Anolis sagrei: one gene and its partners. The protein of the gene in region 3 interacts with the protein of the main gene of each other region in a biochemical or structural test. Links are inferred from orthologs where the notes say so. Each region holds a gene or a part of one and is shown on either strand. Other genes may lie near its edges.

The links. The genes of interacting proteins can lie anywhere in the genome.
Region 1: the proteins of SNTB2 (region 3) and DGKZ form a complex in vitro, tested with the Homo sapiens proteins (2 studies listed by BioGRID and IntAct, with this or other methods). The link is inferred for Anolis sagrei from reciprocal best matches to the Homo sapiens genes SNTB2 and DGKZ.
Region 2: the proteins of SNTB2 (region 3) and PTPRN form a complex in vitro, tested with the Homo sapiens proteins (2 studies listed by BioGRID and IntAct). The link is inferred for Anolis sagrei from reciprocal best matches to the Homo sapiens genes SNTB2 and PTPRN.

Annotation. Positions count from the first base shown.
Region 1 is NC_090021.1:278,501,513-278,509,492, forward strand, and holds the start of DGKZ (diacylglycerol kinase zeta), read left to right. Parts: upstream 1-4,714; 5' UTR 4,715-4,729; coding exon 4,730-5,511; intron 5,512-7,980. UniProt on the Homo sapiens protein: Diacylglycerol kinase that converts diacylglycerol/DAG into phosphatidic acid/phosphatidate/PA and regulates the respective levels of these two bioactive lipids.
Region 2 is NC_090021.1:230,539,865-230,547,977, forward strand, and holds the start of PTPRN (receptor-type tyrosine-protein phosphatase-like N), read right to left. Parts: upstream 3,267-8,113; 5' UTR 3,255-3,266; coding exon 2,906-3,254; intron 1-2,905. UniProt on the Homo sapiens protein: Plays a role in vesicle-mediated secretory processes. Required for normal accumulation of secretory vesicles in hippocampus, pituitary and pancreatic islets.
Region 3 is NC_090028.1:28,607,944-28,615,511, reverse strand, and holds the start of SNTB2 (beta-2-syntrophin), read right to left. Parts: upstream 3,085-7,568; 5' UTR 3,042-3,084; coding exon 2,513-3,041; intron 1-2,512. UniProt on the Homo sapiens protein: Adapter protein that binds to and probably organizes the subcellular localization of a variety of membrane proteins. May link various receptors to the actin cytoskeleton and the dystrophin glycoprotein complex.

The sequences.
Region 1 (7,980 bases), on a different chromosome or scaffold from region 3:
TTAAACATAGGGCCAGATCACAGTCCCTTAAACTGTTGGAGGGCCGGATTATAATTTGAAAAAAGCACGAATGAATTTCTATGCACAGTGCACATATCATTTGTAGTACAAAAAACACTTAAAAACAATACAATAATTAAAATGAAGAATAATTTTAACAAATATAAACTTATTAGTATTTCAGTGGGAAGTGTGGCCCTGCTTTTGGTTGATGAGATAAGATCGTTGTTGTTGTGTGCTTTCAAGTCATTTGAGACTTAGGTTGACCCTGAGCAAGGGCCGGGTAAATGACCTTGGAGGGCCGCATCCGGCCCTCGGGCCTTAGTTTGAGGACCCCTGATCTAGAGAATTATAACTGCAACATATACTCCTCTGCTGTCACAATTGATCAATTAGCAGAACATCTGATTTGGCTTTTCTCCCAGTGCTGCATGTTTCTCAACTGATACTGAGATTAATCCTATACAAATGTCTTTTTGGGGATGGTTAGAATTACTTCGGGGTTGGTGTGTGGTTTGTTCTCTGCACGCTGCCATAAAACAGAAGGGCCTTAAGAGAAGAAGGATAAGAACAGGAGTCTGTATTGGCTGGTCTGTTGTTCCAATGAAGCAAGAAAATTGTGGGGCCTTATCTGGAATGGATGAATGGAATATATGAGTAAGGTGTGATTTGTGTCCCCCAGGAAGAGAGCTTCAGGCATCCATTATTACCCTTTTGAAGTATCAGGGCCATTGTGGCTGAAAATCAGAGCTCACACCCCCTCATCTTGCCATCTGTTAGCATATAGATTGTTGTCAGTTTTTTTTTATTTTTGATACTCCTCTAATTTTATGATGTTATTTTCTTATTTTGTATATTGTTTGCAGTGAGCTACAGTGAATCCTCTTGAATGGCTTTAGCGTGTGTATCCTTCACACTTGGATAATTAACTGAAAAGTTTTCCTTTTCCCATCCCACATTTCCTTTTCTGTTCTCCCCAAGATCAGCTTTCCGTTCACCTCCTGCTTTAATGGATCACACATTTTGGGAACCTTTAAGTGGGATTATTGGTTTGGAACCAAAAGATTCCTATAGCTAAACTCATTTCCTCACATGTTCTCTCAGAAGTTTCATTGACTGCAACAAGGTAAATGTATATTCCAATGGTCCTTAACTTGTGGGACTCCAGATGTTTTGGCCTTCAACTCCCAGAAATCCTAACAGCTGGTAAACTGGCTGGGATTTCTTGGAGTTGTAGGCCAAAACACCAAGGGACCCACAGGTTGAGAGCCACTGGGGTATAGTAATGAATTTGGGATCCATGGCTCCTGTATTCAAAATGCGCTTCTATTGATTTTTGCTTATATTTGGCAGAGAGAATGCAGTGATTTGATCAGAAAAATCTTCTGCATAGTCACTCAAAGCATTTCTAATTAAGAAGATTCCACCTTGGATTAATTGACAGTGCTTTGCAGCCAGACATTTGCAGTACATCAGTTTCCTCTCCCTGAAATTCATACGGTACATTATTCCATACTAACTTTTAAATATGTTCTTAATAGACACAGATAGGGGGCAGCATTGCTTTATTCATTACTAAAAGCGACAAAACTTGGAAAGTCACATTTTGCCAGCAACATGTAGTGTAAATGCCGAGAAGCTGAACATTCACCCCATATCTCCCACTTATTGAAGAAATTGAAGAAATGGCTTTCACAAATACTTTTGAGTCACAAACACCATTTTATTTATTGTTCCCTCTGGTGCAGAAGCTTTTTTCAATTGTCCACAGTTCAGTTAGGTGATCCCTTGTTATCTGAGTATGATGGCCTTCTAAATTCAGTGTCTTGGCGGTGGATACGTAGGGAACTGTGGAGCCCTATTTTTGACCTACATGTTTTGCAAAAGTGAGGACATCGGTTTCCAGATGGAAGGTGGCCCCAGTCAGGGTTGGCTTGACGCACCTTCCTCTTGGTACGTTTCTCCCTTTTGCCCTCCATTCGTGCCTCTTCAGATTCCGCAGCACTGCTGGTCACAGCTGACCTTCAGCTAGAGCACTCAAGGGCCAGAGCTTGCCAGTTCTTGGTGTCTATGCCACAGTTTTCAAGGTTATCTTCAAGCCCAACTTTAAATCTCTTTTCCTATCCACCAACATTCTGTTTTCCATTCTTGAGTTGGGAGTATAGTAACTGCTTTGGGAGATGGTGATTGGGCATTCGGACAACGTGGAGTTGATGGCATAGGAACATCATTTCAATGCTGGTGGTCTTTGCTTCTTCCAGCACACTGACATTTGTCTGCCTGTCTTCCCAATAGATTTGCAGGATTTTTCAGAGGCAATGCTGATGGAATTGTTAAGCGTGACATCTGTAGGCAGTCCACGTTTCACAGGATTGTCCACAATATCTGTGCACAAGATCCAGTCCCATTCCCCTAATGTTTTATTATACAGTATACTGAGGAATCTACAAATGTTTCACATGTTAGCCACTGTTTCTTTGTTGCAGAAAGTGAACTCTGGCTTCTTCATTTCCTGCTCCAGCAAAGTAATGCAAGGACACTCTCTACTCACCACCCAGTAAGGGACTTTTACAAGGAAGTGTGTATAATTGCAGGAATCCCTTCCTTACCGATTATTCCACAGGCCCAGCATCCTATTGGACATGGAGCCTTACCTCATTTTGAAAGAGGTATTCTCTTTCCCTCTGCTGCCCAGTATCTATTCCATGCCTTCCAACATTTAACAGATGAAATCTGGGACACAAGTGGCAATCAACCATCAATGTGTGGTCAAGATAGCAAAAGTTAGTAATGAGGAAGATCAGGCAAACTAGGAGAGACTGTTGCAGTGTGCTTTTGTCTGAACCTCCAGAAGAGGTCAAGATTCTGCCACCTCCAATAATAGTAGTAATAATAGTAGTAAGATTTTTTTGGTGTCAGGAGTGACTTGAATAGTAGTAAGATTTTTTTTGTGTCATGAGTGACTTGGCACAAAAAAAGAGGGCCAATTCTCTCACAGTAGTCGTCGCAATAATAGTTGTTGTTGTAGTAGTAATAGTAATAATAATAATAATGTATATATTGCTTTATTTCTCTAAAAAGAAACCCACAACTGCTAACAACACTAAGATCAATACAACAATCCTCTTATCACTTTCCCATTTGAAGGAAAATTAAGCATCTTAGGTCTGGCTCTGCCTCTTACCTGTGTGCTGCAATCTCTGTTTTGCCTGGTGGAACAGAGACTCACGCTATGTACACCTCCCCAATAGCACCCTCACATTCGGAAGGCAGCAGGCTTCAAACTCGTGAATAATTGAAACTATGAATGTAAAACCGGTGAAAATTGAGGGCCAACTGTGTTGTCTATCTATTGTTATAGTGAAGTGATTAACAAAAGAGCTTAATAACAAGCACTCAAATATATTTTAGACACTGCAATAACAGCATCCTACTGGCATCCAAAACAAGCATGTGAGAAATGTTGTCTGTGGGCTTTTAAATCATCTAGGCATGCGTTCCATGTTGACACAAGCCAAGGTCTTGACTCAAGTGATAATGCCTGGGTTTTTGCACATGTGTGCTTACAGTCAGGGGCAGGGTATTCTAGGAAGCAATGTGTTGCTTGCTGTATTTGTTTATGTGTGATCGCTGAGAGCCAGCATAGTGTAATGCAGTGTTACTTAACCTGTGGGCCTACAACTCCCAGAAATCTCAGCCAGTTTACCAGCTGTTAGGATTTCTGGGAGTTGAAGGCCAAAACATCTGGGGACCCATAGGTTGAGAACCACTGGTGTAATGGTTTGAGCTTTGGACTATGACTCTGGAGAACAGTGTTGAAATCAAGTTTGGTCCAGGTTCGTCACCCGTGCTGGTCACAGTGGCCTATGAAAGTGAGAGCCAATCAGAAAGCTGCCAAATTAATCTCCCACACATACAGAAATACATACAAACACTGACTTTTATTATAGACTAGTTTGGGGACCCGGCGCTGCCTGGGTTATTTGAGAAAGGCATTGTGTGGCAAAGGTGTTCTTTATCAGTTAGTGAAGGTACTGTGAATCCCATCGAGCATGGTCCATCCTCCTCCAAACAGCCCCTGAATGTAGAGTGGGTTATGGTAGCTCTGTGTGCCAAGTTCGATCTTACTCTGTCATTGGTGAGGGTCACAGTGATCTCATGAAGTGTGTGAAGGTACTGCAGGTCCCATCATCCATGGTGAATCCTCCTTCATACCACAACAGGATGTAGAGTGGATCATGGGGGCTGCAGTGTTCTGTGGAAACCGAAGGGTTGGAAAGTACTACACATCCCATCATCCATTGTCTGTCCTCCCCCAAACCTCACCAGGAACTAAAGGGGGTCATGGGGGTTATGTGTGCCAAGTTTGGTCTTCATCGGATGAGGGTCGCAGTGGTCTTGGGAAATGTGTGGAGGTACTTGAAGTCCCATTATCCATGATTCGCCCTCCTCCAAACTACAGTAGGAAGTAGATTGGGTCATGGGGGCTCTGTGTGCCAAGTTTGGCCTTTATTGGTCTTTGTTGGGAGCCACAGTGGTCTCTGGAAACCGAAGGAGTTGAAAGTACTACAAATCCATCATCCTTTGCAGTCCACATCGTAAGTGAGAGAACATATTTGTTATAATTAAGGGAGTAGGAAGGAGAAAGATAGAATAAAAAGAAAAAGAAAAGACCCGGAAAAAAGAAGAAAAAAATAACAATAGGAATAAAAATAAAAAGTCTTCTTTCATGTCCCCACATGGGAAGCTGGAGCTGACAGAGGGAGCTCAACCCGCTTCTCCCTGGATTCGATCCTGCCAGCACAAGGGTGTAACCCATTGGGGGCACCAGGGGCTCCTGCCCATGCCTGCTCTGCTGTTTTTCCCAGCCTCTCTGTCCCGACTCTTCAACCGGGCTCCTTGCATGCAGTACGCGCTTGCGGCCGGCAGGTGGCGCGGGCGGCTTGCTTTTTCCGGCGCCTCTTTCCTTCCTGCCTGCCTGCCTTCTTTGCTTGGGCGCCGTTGCGAGGAGGCAGCTCCCCGGACAGCTAAGCGGGGTCCTCGGGCGCTTGCTGGCTGGCTGGCTTGCTTACCTTGGTGCCTGCTGACACTTCCTGCGCGGCTCAGTCGGCGGAGGAGGCTCGCCGGGGATGTGTGTCCCGCCGCCGCGCCTCCCCCACCGGCGACCGTTGAGGCTCCTGAGGCGGGTGGCCCATGGGCCCCGGAGGGCGGAGGGGGAAGGGGAAGGGGAGGCTGGCCCTGGGCCCGCGGAGGGCATCATGACTCCGGCCAGGTGAGAGCGGGGCGGATGGAGCCCCCGGAGAGCGGCTTTGGCGGCGGGGCTGCTGCTCCTTCTGCTGCTGCTGCTCCTGCTGGAGGCGCCTCCTCGTCCTCCGCCGCCTCCGCCACCTGCCCCAGCTCCCCGTCCTCGGCCAGCTCCGAGACCTCCTTGTGCCCCGAGCCGGAGAGAGCGCCCGCCTTGGGAAGGAGGCACAGCAAGAAGCGCTTCGGGCTCAAGATCTTCGGGAGGAGGTGAGCCCAGCAGGGAGAGGCGGCGTGGCCATCTGCCGGGAGTGCTCTCCCCACAGGCCGCCACGGGAGTTGTAGGCTTGCAGGATCTTTCCTGTAAAAAGACAGGATGCATCTACGCCAGGAATAGGCAAACTTCGACTCTCCAAGTGTTTAGGACTTCAGTCCCCACACAGAGAGGCGGAGATGGCCATCTGTCAGGAGTGCTTTGCTTGTGAGTTCCACTCCCCACAGGTGGTGGCAGGAATTGTTGTATTCCAGGATCTTAAAAAAAACCCCACAGGAATAGGTTAACTTCGGCTCTCCCGGTGTTTAGAACTTCTGTCCCCGCACAGAGGCGGGATGGCCATCTGTCAGGAGTGCTTTGCTTGTGTGTTCCACTCCCCACAGGTGGCCACAGGAATTGTAGTCTTGCAGAATCTTTCTTTTAAAACTCAGTATGCATCTAACACCAGGAATAGGCAAACTTCGGGTCCCCAGGTGTTTTGGACTTCCAACTCCTACACAGAGAGGAGGGATGGCCATCTGCCGGGAGTGCTTTGCTTGTGCGTTCCACTCACCACAGGCGGCCACAAGAGTTATAGTTTGGCAGCGTCTTTTTTAAAAAAAACACAGGATGTATCTACACCAGGAATAGGCAAACTTCGGCTCTCCAGGTGTTTTGGACTTCAGTTCCCAAACAGAGAGGCAGGATGGCCATCTGTCAGGAGTGCTTTGGTTGTGAGATCCACTCCCCATAGGTGGCCACAGGAGTTGTAGTCTTGCAGGGTCTTTTTAAAAAACACACACACAGGATGCACCTACACCAGGAATAGGCAAACTTCAGCTCTCCAGGTGTTTTGGACTGCAACTCCCACACAGACAGGCGGGATGACTATCCCTCGGGAGTGCTTTGCTTGTGCGTTCCACTCTCCACAGGCGGCCACAGGAGTTGTAGTCTTGCAGGATCTTAAAAAAAAAAAAACAGGATGCATCTACACCAGGAATAGGCAAACTTCGGCTCTCCAGGTGTTTTGGACCTCAACTCCCACAATTCCTAACATCTCCCCTAATATTATAATATATTGTGTACACATATAATATTGAAAATAATATCATACAATATAATGCTGATAATAATACAGTATAATAATTATATATGTTAATATTATTACAGTACAGTAGTATAGTACAATATAGTAATATATAATACTAATATTGTGCTGTGCTAATAATGTAATATATTGTATGTACATATTACTTGTAAGCCGCTCTGAGTCCCCTTTGGGGTGAGAAGGGCGGCATATAAATGTTGAAAGTAAATAAATAAATAATCCTCCATCATTGACCATGCTGGCCGAGGCCTCCTGAGTGTTGAAGTCCAAAATATTTTGAGAGAGAGGGAAAAAAAGGACTTTTATTCTCCAAATCTTTCGGACTTTGGCACTTGGGGGCCTCGGCCAGCACTGTGGGAGATGTAGTCTGTACTCTTTGCAGAGCCAAAGATTTGCCACCCAAGATTTGCCACCCAATCCTAGAGAGAACTCAAAGGTGGAGAAGTAGGTGCTGTGAGTTCTGTTTTGCCAAACAGCAGAAGGGAGGCTCCCCAAAGCAAAATAATACACTGGAGTGTGAAGAGATGCTGTCCACGTGTTCCTTAAGACTGTCCATAAAATTGTATACAGAATATATAAGAACTATATTTACATTACATGTGAGAAATGAAATCTTGCGAACTGAATATTGTACACTGTTATTTTATTGTACCTCAGAGCTCTTTTGTGGTCCACCCTGCACATCATCAAGCCTTGGGAAATGGAGCAGGAAATCATTGTTACTCTAAAGGATTCACAATCTTGTCTGTAATCACAACATGGCTTCTAAGCCAGTGGTAACAGATGTCGGGCTTGTGGGGCTTTGTAATTTCATTGTTTTTGCCATGTAGAACTGGGTTAGGGAATAAATTGAAACACTTATTTTCATTGGCAGTCCTTTCACATGCGTACACAGGCCCGGCATTGCTGGCTATTTGCAATAGGAAGTCTTGCGATATTGTCTGGTCTGGGCATATTTCACAAATTTACACAAGAACTCAAATTATATCAACATGTGAAGAGAAGCAGGAAGTTCTCACGGACCCCATATGTGTTGCTTTTGGGACTATTTTACCAGGCCAACATGGCTACTGATACAAATAATAATCATAATAATCCCAGGTGACAGCAAAATTGACGAGAAGCAACTTGAAAAGCTTACACAATATGAGGATTTAAAGATCAAACTGCAAAGACTCTGGCACAAGCCAGTAAAGTTGGTCCCACTAGTGAATGGCACACTGGGTGCAGTGCCTAAAGACCTTGGCCTGCACTTAAAAACAATCAGCACTGACAAAATCATCATCTGTCACCTGCAAAAGGCCACCCTACTTGGATCTGCATGGATTATTTGCTGATACATCACACAGTCCTAGATGCTTGGGAAGTGTTTGACGTG
Region 2 (8,113 bases), on a different chromosome or scaffold from region 3:
CCCTACATACCTATCCGAACGTATCTCGGCCTATCAGCCCACCAGGACCCTTAGATCTTCAGGAGAAGCCCTTCTCTCTATCCCACCTGCTTCACAGGTGCGGCTCGTGGGAACGAGAGATAGGGCCTTTTCTGTGGTGGCCCCCCGGCTTTGGAATGCCCTCCCTACTGAATTAAGATCAGCCACCTCGCTAATGGCATTTAGGAAAAAACTAAAAACCTGGATGTTTGAGCAAGTCTTCAATTGACCTTCGATGTGATGTTTTATCTGACCATGGATTAGCAATCAAGATAACGAATTGGATGATGATTTTAACTATGAGATGTCCCGATCTGTATTGGTGGCCCAATACTGTGTATGTTTTTTGTATGTATTTTTATTTTAATTTTATATGCTTAAATGAATTGTATATTTTAACATGTTGTAAACCGCAATGAGTCGCCGCACAGGCTGAGATATTAGCGGTATACAAGCATACCAAATAAATAAATAAAAATAAATAAAAATACAGCCCCGAAAACTCACAGCAACCCAGTGATTCCGGCCATGAAAACCTTTTATAACAGTTTTTTTTTTTACAGTGGACTGTCAGTTAACTGGCACCCATGTGAATTGGTAGATGCCAGACAAAAATAGTTTCTGGTTGCTTGAGAGTTACTATTAAAAACAGCCCTAACTGATACTATATCCTATACTATAAACTTCATATCAACTTGATATTAATATTGAAATGCAATAATTAAAAGCGAATAAAGACAAACTGAATTTAATATAACACAGTTTTACTATATCGACTTAATATTAATATTGCAATAATTAAAAGCAAATAAAGACAAGCCGAATTTAATGTAACACAGTTTTACTATATTATAAACACAGTATTTTACTTAAAGCACTACATTACTTCTTTTTTGTGGCTGTTTGATAGTTCTAGTTACTTGAATTCTGAAGTCTATGTAAGACGTTATTATCCATCCATCTTCTTCAATTGCATGCCTGGTTTAGTGCTGAATTACACAACCCAAGAGTATAGGACAAGTATGAGCCAAGCAAGGTCCTCCAGATGTTGCTGAACTGCACCTCCCAACACTCCTCATCGCTGGCTATCCTGGGCTGGGGCTGATGGAAGATGCAGTCCAACACAATCTGAAGGACCAAATAATTGCCCCAATCTGAGAGCAGCCAAACAAAGAGCCTTATTGAACCAACTGTGCCAATTCCAGCTGCGGTCTCACAAAACTGACTTAGAGATTAATTCTGCAAACAAGGAAGCAGAAAACCATAAGCAGAGCCAGGAAGGATACTGGGATGCACTTCCTCACCACTTTGTGTGGGCTTTCAGTTGGGAATGAGGGGTGTGGTGAGGGGGAAAGATGGAAGAAACATCAATGCTCATTGCTAGAAGGAATCCCAGCATTAATAGAAAAAGGAAGCCCAGTTAAAGCAGGAAGGGTGCAGCTGACATTTGCAACAGGCAGCTGGCTCAAAAGCTGGAAACGGGAAAGCAAGGAAGATGGAGAAAAAGGCCCAGCAAAAGCATGACGTCAGGGACTGAATTAATAAGGAAAACATGGAAGGGGGAGGGAAAAAGGGAGATGGAGAGATCCACTCTGGAAGTAAAAAAGGGGGCGGGAAAGAAAAAGCAGAGAAGGAGAGAAAGAGGGAGCTAGGCGACCCTGATAAGGCTGTGACGTTAGCATCTTGGGCTGCCACGCAAAATGGTGACAATATCACTCCAGAGGGGGTTGGATCCTCAATCGGGGACACACAAAAAGGCGAGAGTTAGGCCAAGGAAGAAGAGGAGCATGTGCTACATTTCCAAGAAGGGAAAAGAGCTTGCCACCCACCCTTCTATGGCATTGGAAGGGGAGGGATTTTCAGGGAGCAAAAAGGAGAAAGGGAAGGGTAACACGGGGCACAACCCATATTTGTGGGCGAGTGGGGCGTAGAGGAGGTGGATCTTTCCCAGAAAAGTGATGCAGGACCTATTGAGAGGGTCCTGTTTCGTCTTTCCAAGTGATGTAGGACTTACTGGCAGGTACTGCATGGTTTGGAAGCACTCAAAGCTCTCCGATGAAAGGGCAACGGGGACAGACAGCCTTTGCAGAAGGTGGGCGTATTCAGAGGCGGCCCTAGAGAACTTACAACGGTAAGCAAATAGTATTTTGGCGCCCCCCCCCCCCCAACCAATCACTGATATATATTTTCTGTTCATCGTGGGAGTTCTGTGTGTCATATTTGGTTCAATTCCATCATTGGTCGAGTTCAGAATGCTCTTTGATTGTAGGTGAACTATACATCCCAGTAACTACAACTTGCATATGTCAAGGTCTATTTTCCCCCAAGATTGCCTCAAGAGCGCCCCTGGGCAAAATCAACTATACTGCAAATGCTTACTTTGCGTAATGGGTTGAGCCGCCCCTGGGCGTATTAGGGGGCCACGGCATTGCAAGTGGGGCCAAACTGCATTCATCATACAGTGTAGACGACCCCCACCCCCCCCCCCCCCCCCAAGGCAATGGGAGACCACGATTCAGCCATGGAAGCCCACTGATTGACGTTGGGATACCTTGCTTTGGAAAGGATGATTTTTCCAAAGAGAAGAGAGTTGATTTGGATGGAGGGAACGAAAAAGAAACCAAGCCAGCGCTTTGCAGAGCAAGCTGCACCTTACCATATGGGACCGAAGGAGCCAAAGGACCGCTGTTACCATCCCTATGCCAACCTAGGGCCCTTCCACCCAGCCCTATATCCCAGAATATCAAGGCAGGAAATCCCACATTATCTGCCCTGATATTCTGGGATATAGGGCTGGGTGGAAGGCCCCCCAGAAAGCAGCAGCACAGCAGAGGCAGTCACGGTGAGACCTCAAAAGCCCCTCAATTTCGAGCACCCCGAGTCTTACCGTGCAGCACTTGCAAGGGGCGATCCCCAAGGGCTGACAATGCCGGCGGTGGCGGGAGCAGCAGCAAGAGGAGGAGGCGACCCAGAGCCCGGGGCAGACTCGGCTGCCACCCCCGCCCCATCCCGGCTGGTGGAGGTGCCCTCCGATGCTCACAGCCCGGGCAGCCGCCGCCTCCTCCACGATCGCCCAGGCTGCTGCTCTTCCTTTTGCTGCTGCTGCTGCTGCAGCTGCACCATGGCTCAAACCTGGCACGCGACGCCCCCTCCAGACCGGCCGCGAGACGCTCGCCTGCCCTGGAGCGCGCGCCCACCGCCTCCCTCCCTCCCAGCCGGCCAATCGCGAGCCACATGCAAAGTAGACCCGGGACTGGAACAGCCTATCACGGCGCCTGGAAAGGACACGCCTCCGTCCGTAGACTCTACGGCCGCGCGCCTCGTAACCACGCCCCTTTCCCCCCAGCCCCCCCTCCCCAAAAGAGAGAGAGAGAGCCCCGCCCCTGCTTCAGGCTCTGCATTAGGCCCTCCGCATCCACATAATATTGTGGCTTAACCGCTTTGGGTCTAGGATCTTAGTTTTACAAGCCTTCTCCCAGCAAACTCCAACTCCCATTATTCCATAGCACTGAGCCATTGTAAATACAATGGGTCTCAAACTGCATTCATTCTCCAGTGTGTAGATGCTTCCTTGGCTGGCACACCTCTTGCTGACTGATCGGTTTCCCCGCCAATCAGGGCGCAGCGAGGCGGTTGCAATCCCACCCCCCGCAAATAGGCACCGAGTCCAGCTCAAGGTTTTGGCCGCTTTCCATTGAAACTTCCTCCACGACGTTCCCCAAAATAGCCCCTTCTAAATCGACAGCCCCTCCGGATTACGCAGCTCCCATTCAGCCCACATCCGACTTCCGCCTCCCTTTTTTTTCCCCTCTTGGACGTCGATGGCGAGGAAGCGAGGACTGCTCGCTGTTGCTTCCAAGGCAGCCAAGGCAGCCTCCCCCGCCTCCCCAGAGCGGATTGCTTCCTTCCACACTCGAGTTCTTTTTAAGGCTGGTGAATATCTGAAGGATGCCTACTCAGTGGGCAATATCGAAGCAAGCTTGCTCCGTTAGGATTGGCATAAAGGGCAGTCACACTGTAGAACTGATGCACTTTGAAACCCTTTTCACTACAGTGCTATAGAATCCTGGGAGTTGTAGTTTTCCAAGGGCTTTGCCCCTCCCTGCCAATGAGTTCGGGTGCCTCACCAGTCTACACCAATTCCACAGCTTTGAGACATAGTCATTAAAGTAGGATCAAACTGCATCAATTCTACAGTGTAGCTGTACCCATACGCTGAGTTTCCCATAGGGAACAATCTAGAACACCTGCATCACATTTTTCTTGTGTTTTCAGACACAGATTTGTCCTATACTAACAGACTTTGTATTTCTAGGTGCAAAGATTACTGCAGATGCAGACTGTGGCCAGGAAATCAGAAGACGCTTACTTCTTGGGAGGAGAGCAATGTCCAGTCTCAATAGAATAGTAAAGAGTAGAGACATCACACTGGCAACAAAGATCCGCCTAGTCAAAGCCATGGTATTCCCTGTAGTAACCTACGGGTGTGAGAGCTGGACCTTAGGGAAGGCTGAGTGAAGAAAGATAGATGCTTTTGAACTGTGGTGTTGGAGGAAGGTTCTGAGAGTGCCTTGGACTGTGAGAAGATCCAACCAGTCCATCCTCCAGGAAATAAAGCCCGACTGCTCATTGGAGGGAAGGATACTAGAGACAAAGTTGAAGTACTCTGGCCACATCATGAGGAGACAGCAAAGCCTAGAGAAGACAATTATGCTGGGGAAAGTGGAAGGCAAAAGGAAGAGGGGCCGACCAAGGGCAAGATGGATGGATAGCATCCTTGAAGTGACTGGACTGACCTTGAAGGAGCTGGGGGTGGTGACGGCCAACAGGGAGCTCTGGCGTGGGCTGGTCCATGAGGTCACGAAGAGTCGGAGACGACTAAACAAATGAACAACAACAAAATGCATGCAAATTAATAAAACCTTTTAAAGGGCCCCCTGGTGGCACAGCGGCTTAAAACCACTGATCTGCTGAACTTCCTGACTGAAAGATTGGCAGTTCGAATCCGGGGAGCAGGGTGAGTGTTACCCCCAGCTTCTACCAACCTAGCAGTTCGAAAACATGCAAATGTGAGTAGATCAATAGTGAGAAGGTAACGGCCTTCCATGCAGTCATGCCGGCCACATGACCTTGGAGGTGTCTATGGACAACGCTGGCTCTTCAGCTTAGAAATGGAGATGAGCATCACCACCCAGAGTCAGACATGACTAGACTTAATGTCAGGGGAAAACCTTTACCTTTACTTTTAAAGTCAAATCTTTTCCCCAAGAGATTAACATATTCAGCTTAGATACATTGTGCAACATCAAGCAAAATTTGCTTAAATGTTGGGTAGATAAATGAGAAGACTACTTGCAGCAGAACTAAATGACGACAACCCCCACACCATTTACTACAATGGGTCCGATCAATGATGTAACAGACCAACAACTTTTAGAGTACTACTTATTCCTCAGTCCTGGCCTTGTCTTACTCAACTGCTGAGTATGCCTGCCCCATGTGAAGCAGGTGAATCTAGCACTGAATGAGATATGTAGAATAATCACAGGATATCTTAAACCTTCACCTGTTCATAGACTCTACAACAGGCATGGGCAAACTTTGGCTCTCCAGGTGTTTTGGACTCCAACTCCCACAATTCCTAACAGCCTCAGGCCCCTTTCTTTCCCTCCTCAGCCGCTTAAGCAGCTGAGGGGGAAAAGGAAAGGGCCCGAGACTGTTAGGAGTTGTGGAAGTTGGAGTCCAAAACACCCGGGGGGCCAAAGTTTGCTTGTGCTTGCTCTTCAAGCTAGCTGGCATTGCCCCGCCCCCAATGTGTGACTGGAAGTTGTTCCTAATTGCGAGAGAAATAAGGTTGAACACTGAGAAAGCAAACCACTGCATGGCTATCAACCTATTCCCGGTAGTCTTAAATCAAGGGAAAGTTTCATGAGAACCATCACTCCTCTGTATGTTCCTCCAGCAACAGGAAGACTATCCTTCTGGGCAGCTAAACCAGGCAATCCCAACTGGATGGCACCCCGCGAGGGTCTTCCTCCAGGGGCAAACCAAGAATGGGCCACTTGGAAGTCCCTGAACAGACTCAGAAGTGGAGTTGTTAGATCAAAAGACAAGCTGGCAAAATGGCACTATCTAGAAGAATCCTCCATCTTGTGTGACTGTGAAGCAGAACAAATAACTGCATATGTATGCTTGCCCACAATGTCCTGCCTCATGTACAGAGGAAGAACTGTTTAAAACTACAGACAATGAGGTTGCTGTTGTGTGTTTTTGGTCTAAAATTATTTAGCTGCTAGTGCTCCCTTTATTTCATCAGCTTTATGAGCTGCTGAACTTGCTGACCAAAAGGTCGGTGGTTTGAAACCGTGGAGTGGAGTGAGCTCCTGCCGTTAGCTCCAGCGTTTGCCAACCTAATGGTTCGAAAACAAGCAAATGTAAGATCAATAGGCACAGCTCCGGCGGGAAGTTAACAGCGCTCCATGCCGACCACATGACCTTGGAAGCATTTATGGACAATGCCGGCTCTTTGGCTTAGAAATGGAGATAAGCATCACTCCCCAGAGTTGGACAAGACTAGACTTAATGTCAAGGGGAAACCCCATCTTTTATTTATGCAATGCTTTTGACATGAAATAAATAAATAAGCCCTGGATTGTATAGTGAAGATGCATGCCTTATTTCACAGCCCACTTCTCCTCCTACATACCTAAATAACCCAGAGAAAACCATTTTAAGGAAAGGAGCAAGGCATTTCAATTTAAAAAAGAGATGATGGGTTTCATATTTAGTTATTCCACATGGTTTGTCCTCTCCTCAGTGGATCTAAGAGGTTGGAAATACCCACCCACTCAGCAGGTGCTAAGCCATTTCTTAGTCCCATCTGCCTCACAAGGTTTTAGAGTAAAACTTGAGAGAACTATATTCCCCACTCTGAGCAATTTGGAAAACAAAACAGTTGGATATAAATGTAATGAAGAAATAAACCAACACAGTAGCCTACCAACAGCCAACTTCAAATATGGCTTCCGATATCCAGAAATAATAATAATAATAATAATAATAATAATAATAAAACTTTATACCCCGTCATCATCTCCCCGAGGGGACTTGGGGCGGATTACATGAGGCCAAGAAATTATGTAGGACACCCCAAACCAGGCATGGGCAAATTTTGGCCCTCCAGGTGTTTTGGACTTCAACTCACATAATTTCTAACAGCTGGTAAACTGCCTGGGATTACTGGGAGTTGAAGTCCAAAAGACCCGAAGGGCCGAAGTTTGGCCATGTCTGTAAACCAGTGTAAACAACCTACATTAATGCTCTCATAATCCCTGACCAGAAACTACAGCCTGGGGATTATGGGAATTGTAGGTCAAGATACCTGAATCCCACCAGATCACCCTATCTCAAACTCCCAAAAATGTATTCTATCAATTTGTGATGAATGATGGAGTCTTTCTTGACTGTCTCCTCATTGTTCCTTGGCCATTTTTCACATGAATTTTATGAGTTCATTTAAGGACAAAAGTAAAAGCAAGGGAGCAATACTATGGCTTTAACAAGAATTTACTCATTTTGTATAATACAAGAATAAAGCTATTCACATTTCAAAATGGGTATGTTAGGTTTGCACAATCTGATGGATGTGGACAAAAGAAACTGTAGTCCAAAACACCTAAAAAAGCTACAAGTTATGAAAGACTGTTGTATTTTTTGCTGTTTCATATTAAAATGAATAAAAACTATTATCCGACATCACACCAAAACTGTTTTTGTCTCATTCCAACTTCAATATAGAAAATCATTAATAACAAGAACTCTTAAGGGGAGGGACAAATCCCTGTGACCCTTGGAAAGCAAAAATGGAACTAAAAAAGAAAATACAAAGTGTTTGAATTCATTTGGAAAAGGAGAATGAGAGAACATTTGGGGCAAATGAAGAGGTAAGTATCAGGGCTCCTACTATTGGTTGTTACTATGAGCAAGTCCTCCAAGGGTGCTGACCATGTCACTTTTGCTTTTACAGGGGAACATGAGACCCTCAAAGTTCTTTGTCCCATGTACTACAAGCAATAGTGAGGGAAGATGGGAGCTT
Region 3 (7,568 bases):
GACTGTCTATCGGGAGGGCTTGGACTGGATGACCCTTGGGGATATATCTCACAATTACATCTTTGTCTGGGTGGCCATCTGTCAAGAGGGTTTGGATGGTGTCTTCCTATACAGCAGGACTGGATGACCCCTGGGGATATATATCAATTACATCTGTGGCTGGATGGCCATCTCTCGAGAGGGTTTGGATAATGTCTACCTATATAACAGAATGGGCTTGGACTTGATGACCCTTGGGACACACACACACACACACACACACATATATATAGAGAGAGGGATTTTTGTCTGGATGGCCATCTATCGGGAGGGTTTGGATGGTGTCTTCCTATAGAGCAGAATGGGCTTTAGTCTTGATGACTCTTGGGGGATACACACATATCACAATAACATCTTTGGCTGGAGTTGGAAAGGCACCCCAAAGGCCATCCAGTCCAGCCCACTTTTTTTCTGCCAGGCATCATCCAAACCCTTCCAACAAATGGCCATACCAGCCACAGATGTCATTGATATCCCCCAAGGGTCATCCAGTCCAAGCCAATTTTCCTGTATAGGAAGACACCATACAAACACTCCCAACAGATGGCCATCCAGCCAAAGATGTTATTGTGATATGTGTGTATCACATCTTTGGCAGGATGGCCACCTGTCGGGAGAGTTTGTATGTTGTCTTCCAATAAAGGAGAATGGGCTTGGACTGGATGACCCTTGGGGGATATCAATGACATCTTTGGCTTGATGGCCATCTGTTGGGAGGGTTTGTATGGTGTCTTCCTATACAGCGGAATGGGCTTGGACTGGATGACCCTTGGGGGGGGGGTATACATACATACATATATATATATATATATATATATATACATATCTCAATTACATCTGTGGCTGGATGGCCATCTGCTGAGAGGATTTGGATAGTATCTTCCTATAGAGCAGTATGGGTTTGGACTTGATGACCCCTGGGGTGTGTGTGTATGTGTGTATATATATATACACACACACATATCTCAATTACATCTGTGGCTGGATGGCCATCTGTTGAGAGGGTTTGGATGGTTTCTACCTATATAGCAGAACGGGCTTGGAACGGATGACCCTTGGGGGATATCAATGACATCTTTGGCTGGATAGCCATCTGTCGGGAGGGATTTGACGGTGTCTTCCTATAGAGCAGAATGGGCTTGGCCTTGATGACCACTGGGGGGTACACGCACATACATACATATGCATCAATGACATCTGTGGGTGGATGGCCATATGTCGGGGGGGGGGGGGGTTTGAATGATGCCTGGCAGAAAAAAAGTGGGCTGGACTGGATGGCCTTTGGGGTGCCTGTATGATATAAGCATCTCTCTCTCCCTATCCAACTCAGTGACATCTTTGGCTAGATGGCCATCTGTTGGGAGGGTTTGTATGTTGTCTTCCTATATAGGAGAATGGGTTTGGACTGGATGACCCTTGGGGGATATCAATGACATCTTTGGCTGAGTGGCCATCTGTCAGGAGGGTTTGTATGGTGTCTTCCTATACAGATGAATGGCTTGGACTGGATGACCCTTGAGCGATATCAATGACATCTTTGGCTGGATGGCCATCTGTCGGGAGGGTTTGTATGGTGTCTTCCTATAGAGTAGAATGGGCTTGGACTGGATGATCCTTAGGGGATATCAATGACATCCTTGACTGGATGGCCATCTGTCGGAGGGGTTTCATGGTGTCTTTCTATAGAGTAGAATGGGCTTGGACTGGATGCCCCTTGGGGGATATCAACGACATCTTTGGCTGGATGGCCATCTGTCGGGAGGGTTTGTATGGTGTCTTCCTATAGAGTAGAATGGGCTTGGACTGGATGATCCCTGGGGGATATCAATGACATCTTTGGCTGGATGGCCATCTGTCAGGAGGGTTTGTATGTTGTCTTCCTATATAGAAGAATGGGCTTGGACTGGATGCCCCTTGGGGGATATCAATGACATCTTTGGCTGGATGGCCATCTGTCAGGAGGGTTTGTATAGTGTCTTCCTATACAGATGAATGGGTTTGGACTGGATGCCCCTTGGGGGATATCAACGACATCTTTGGCTGAATGGCCATCTGTCGGGAGGGTTTGTATGGTGTCTTCCTATAGAGTAGAATGGGCTTGGACTAGATGACCCTTGGGGGATATCAATGACATCTTTGGCTGGATGGCCATCTGTTGGGAGGGTTTGTATGGTGTCTTCCAATATAGGAGAATGGGCTTGGACTGGATGCTCCTTGGGGGATAACAACGACATCTTTGGCTGGATGGTCATCTGTCGGGAGGGTTTGGATGATGCCTGGCAGAAAAAGTGGGCTGGACTGGATGGCCTTTGGGGTGCCTCTATGAGAAAAGCATCTCTCTCTCTCTATCTCAGTGACATCTCTGGTTGGCTGGCCATCTGTCGGGAGGGTTTGGTTAGGAATGGTGGGAGCTGAAGTCCCAAACCCGCGAAGGGAAGGCCCAGGTCGTCCCAGGCCGGCTCTCGGGGCTCACCTTCGAGGAGGACCTCCCTCCCGGCGCGCTTGAGGGCCTGCACGGCCTGGTCGTGGGTGGCCTCCCGGAGGTCGACGCCGTTGACGGAGAGGATGGCGTCCCCGAGGCGCAGAGCTCCGCTCCGCTCGGCTGCCAGCCCGGGGAAGATGCGCGAGATGAGCACGGGCATGCGGTTCTCGCGCCCGCCCTTGATGCTGATGCCCAGCCCGCCGGCCTCGGCCTTGACCACCCGCACGCGGCGCACCCCCGGCGGCGGAGAAGGCAGGAGCGGCGGGGAGCCCGGCGAGGAGGGCGGAGAAGCCGAGGCGGCCCCTCGCAGCTCCGGAGAGCTGGACCCGGCCTCGCTGCGCCGCCCAACTCCGGGGCTGCCCCACTCGGAGCCGTTCGGGAGGCCGTTCAGCGGCGGCTCCGGCTCCGAGCTGAGGATCAAGGCCTCGCCGCTCAGCTCGGCCAGCGCCCGCACCCAGCAGCGCTCGCGGAGCAGCACCTCCACCAGGCCGGCCTTGCACGCCCGCGTCCACACCGCCATCGGGGGAGCCGAGCGTCGCGCGTCCTTCTCCCGCCGTAGCTCGACTCAGACTGAGCCGGCGTCTCTCAGGAGAAAGGGGAGGGGTCTCCTCGGAGATGGCCCATTGGCTGAGAGGCAAAAGAGGCGTGGCCTCTCAGGCTGAGAAAAGGGGAGGGGCCTTATCCGAAGCGTCCCATTGGATGTCAAGGAAAAGAGAGGCGGGGCATAGTTAAAAGTTGGAGGGGAGGGGAACGAAAAGGGGCGGGGCCTCCACTACAAAGTCCCAAGTGAGGGAGAGGCGGGAGGAGGAGGGAACTAAGGCTGAGAAAAGGGGCGGGGCCTCATCCACACCGTCCCATTGGGCGACAAGGAAGAGAGAGACGGGGCATAGTTAAACCCCCGCGTTGGAATGGAGGGGAAAGAAAAGGGGCGGGGCCTCCGCTACAAAGTCCCATTGGTGCCAAGTAAGGAGAGGCGGGGCCTAGTCAAACGAGGGAACCTTAAAGGGGCGGGGCTTGAGCCACAGCCTCTATTGGGTGCCACTGAAGGGAGAGGCGGGGCCTAGCCCAAAGCCCGCGTTGGAGGAGAGGGAACAGAAAAGGGGAGGAGCCGCAGCCACAGAGTCCGATTGGCTGCTAAGGAAGGGAGAGGCGGGACCTGAGTTGGAAGGGGAGGCAACCGAAAAAGGAAAAGGGGCGGGGCAACTAAGGAGGAAACCCATTGGCTGGGAGGGAAAGGAGGCGGGGTGAGAAAGAGGGAGGAGCCTCACCCTTTGGGAGGCGGGGCGATAAGAAAGGGGCGTGGTCTCCTGGAGAAGACAAGGGAGGGAAAAGAGGAAGGAGCCTCATTGGCTGTAATGCTAGAGGAGGACAATAGATGGGAGGGGCTAATTCAGAATGGGGAGGAGCAAGAGGAAAGAGGCGGGGCCTGGCTAGGTAAAGGGGCGCGGGCACATCTTAACACCTCTCAACAAAAGATTTTCCCAGGCTCAGCCAGGCCTTCAAATGCTAATGAAGGTAGTCAGTTGAAACATTCACACCTAGCTCCAGCAGGGAAGAGCTCCTTGCCCCACCCCAGCCATTTCACAGATATATAAACCCATTGTCCTATTTCCAACAGACCTCACTACCTCTGAGGATGCTTGCCATAGATGCAGGCGAAACGTCAGGAGAAATGCCTCTAGAACATGGCCCAATAGCCCGAAAAAACCCACAAGAACCTAGTGATTCCAGCCATGAAAGCCTTCGACAATACGTTTAATCTGTTTATATCAGTGTTTCTCCACCTTCCTAATGCTGCGACCCCTTAATACAGTTCCTCATGTTGTGGTGACCCCCAACCATAACATTATTTTGCTACTTCATAACTGTAATTTTGCTCCTGTTATGAATGGTAATGCAATTATCTGATAAGCAGGATGTTTTTTTCACTATATCCAATTTGGCACAAATATCCGACATGCCCAAATTTGAATAGTGGTGGGATTGGGAGGAGGGGGGATTGATTGATTTTGTTATTTGGGCGTTCGAGTTGTTGGGATTTATAGTTCACCTACAATCTGAACTCCAACAATAATTGAATTGAACCAAACTTGGCACACAGAGGCCGCCCTAGGTAATTTTGGATGGTAAGCAAACAGTAATTTGCCCCCCCCCCCCAACCAATCACTGATATATATTTTCTGTTTGTCGTGGGAGTTCTGTGTGCCATATTTGGTTCAATTCCATCATTGGTGGAATTCAGAATGCTCTTTGATTGTAGGTGAACTATACATCCCAGTAACTACAACTCACATATGTCAAGGACTATTTTCCCCCTAGAGCACCCCTGGGCAAAATCAACTATACTGCAAATGCTTACTTTGCGTAATGGTTGAGCCGCCCCTGTTGGCACACAAAACTCCCATGGCCAACAGAAAACATTGGAAGGGTTTGGTGGGCATTGACCTTGAGTCTGGAGTTGTAGTTCACCTCCAGACAGCACTGTGGACTCAAACAATGGTGGATCTGGACCAAACTCTACATGAATACTCAATATGCCCAAATGTGAACACTGGTGGAGTTTGGGGAAATATACCTTGGCATTTTGGAGTTGCAGTTGTGGGATTTATAGTTCACCTTCAATTAAAGAGCATTCTGAACCCTACAAAGTATAGAATTGGGCCAAACTTCTTATACAGAACCCCCATGACCAACAGAAAATACTGTGTTTCCTGACGGGCTTTGGCGACCCCTCTCACAGCCCCTGGTGACCCCCTCAGGGGTCCCGACCCCCAGGTTGAGAACCACTGGCTTATATGAACTAGGTGTTGCCAATATCAAGCAGGTAACAGGTAAACCCCCGGTGCCACAGTGGGTTAAAGCACCGAGCTGCTGAACTTGCTGATCAAAAGGTCACAGGTTCGAATCTGGGGAGCGGCGTGAGCTCCCGCTGTTAACCCCAGCTTCTGCTAACCTAGCAGTTTGAAAACATGCAAATGTGAGTAGATCAATAGGTACTGCTCCGGCAGGAAGGGAACAGTGCTCCATGCAGTCATGCAGGCCACATGACTTTAGAAGTGTCTACGGACAACACCAGCTCTTCAGCTTAGAAATTGGGATGAGCACCAACTCCCCAGAGTCGGACACAACTGGACTTAATGTCAGGGAAAACATTTACCATTACCTAACAGGTAAACATTATTATTATTAGAAACACAACAAGATCACTCTGCTGGCTGTTGTATTGGATCACACGTCGGACCCTTCCCAAGTGTCTAGGACTGTGTGATGTATCAGCGAATAATGCATGCAGATCCAAGTAGGGTAGCCTTTTGCAGCTGACAGATGGTAATTTTGTCAGCACTGATTGTTTTTAAGTGTAGGCCAAGGTCTTTAGGCACTGCACCCAGTGTGCCAATCACCACTGAGATCACATTTACTGGCTTGTCCAAGTCTTTGCAAAATTATTATTATTATTATTTTACTGACACAGTATGTAACAGCAAATTAGATCTATTTGCTGGATTTCATGTCACAAAATCACAAGTCGAACACTTCCCATGTGTCTAGGAATGTGTGATGCATTTACGAATGAGGCGTGCAGATCCAAGTAAGGTGGCCTTTTGCAGATCATGATTTCGTCATTTATTATTATTATTATTATTATTATTATTATTATTATTATTGTGGGATTGCTTTTTGTCCCATTGAATGTCCTCAAGTGCCTCTCAGGGCACAGAGAAGGCAGGATTTGACCCCTGATTTGATCTTTGATCTCGCAGCGTGAGGTCCAGCAGCCAGAGCTTTGCTGCTGATCCTCGGGACAAGGAGGAAACGGCCTATTTTTAATTCTGAAGGCTATGTAATCGTCCGGCCTCCTGAGGACATCTCCTTAAAGGAGGGAAGAGACACCATTTAATGCTCTTGAGCAGGAAGGGATCCCGCCTGGGCCTTGGAGCCACTTCTAAAAGAGGAAAAGTAGCATATAAATACAATTATATACCTGGTCAATTTCAAATCCTATTACTACTGTATTTCAATCTTTGTTCCACATATTTTAATATATGTATTTTATGGTAATGTGTTTTCATATGTGCATTGTATGTGTTTTATGGTGCTGCGTTTATTGTATTTATTACCCACATCATTTAATGAGGGTAATGTTCCACCATTACTTACTTACTTACTTAATTAATTAATTGAAACACAAGATTAGTACACAGCAAACAAGATCGCTCTTCTGGCTGTTTTATTGGATCATCCAAATGTCTAGGACTGTGTGATATTATCAGCGAACAATGTGTGCTAATCCCAGTAAGGTGGCCTTTTGCAGATGGCAGATAATGATTTTGTGAGCTCCAATTGTGCTTAAGTGCAGGCCAAGGTCTTTAGGCACTGCACCCAGTGTGCCAATCACCAGTGGGACCACCTTGACTGGCTTGTGCCAGTCTTTGCAGTTTGATCTTTAAATCCTCGTTTTGTGTCAGCTTTTCCAGTTGTTTCTCTTCAATCCTGCTGTCGCCTGGGATTACAACATCGACGATCCATACTTGTGAGGTCAGGAGTATTATTATTATTATTACTGGGCCCCTGGCGGCGCAGTGGGTTAAACCCTTGTGCCAGCAGGAGTGCTGACTGACAGGTCAGAGGTTCGAATCCCTGGGAGAGTGGGTTGAGCTCTCTCTGTCAGCTCCAGCTCTCCAAGCCTCCCACAAGGATGGTTAAACATCAAAACATCCTGGCGTTCCCCTGGACAACGTCCTCCTCCTCCTCCTCCTCCTTAAAACACAGAACATGTCACTTTTTTTAAAAAAAAAATGAAATTTCAAAAACACATAATGCAAATAGTAACACTTAAAAGTAAAATCACTCAAACCTATTGCTATTTTTATTATATGCATTTATACCTTGCTTTATTTCCCGCGAAGGTGACTCAGTGCCCTTCCAGAAAGGCCCTATATCCTAGGATCTGATCCCAAGTTTTCTGCTTTAAATTGGATTATATGTGTCCAAACTGCCAGAGAATCTGGGATAAACAGAAAACCTGGGATCAGATCCTCAGATATAG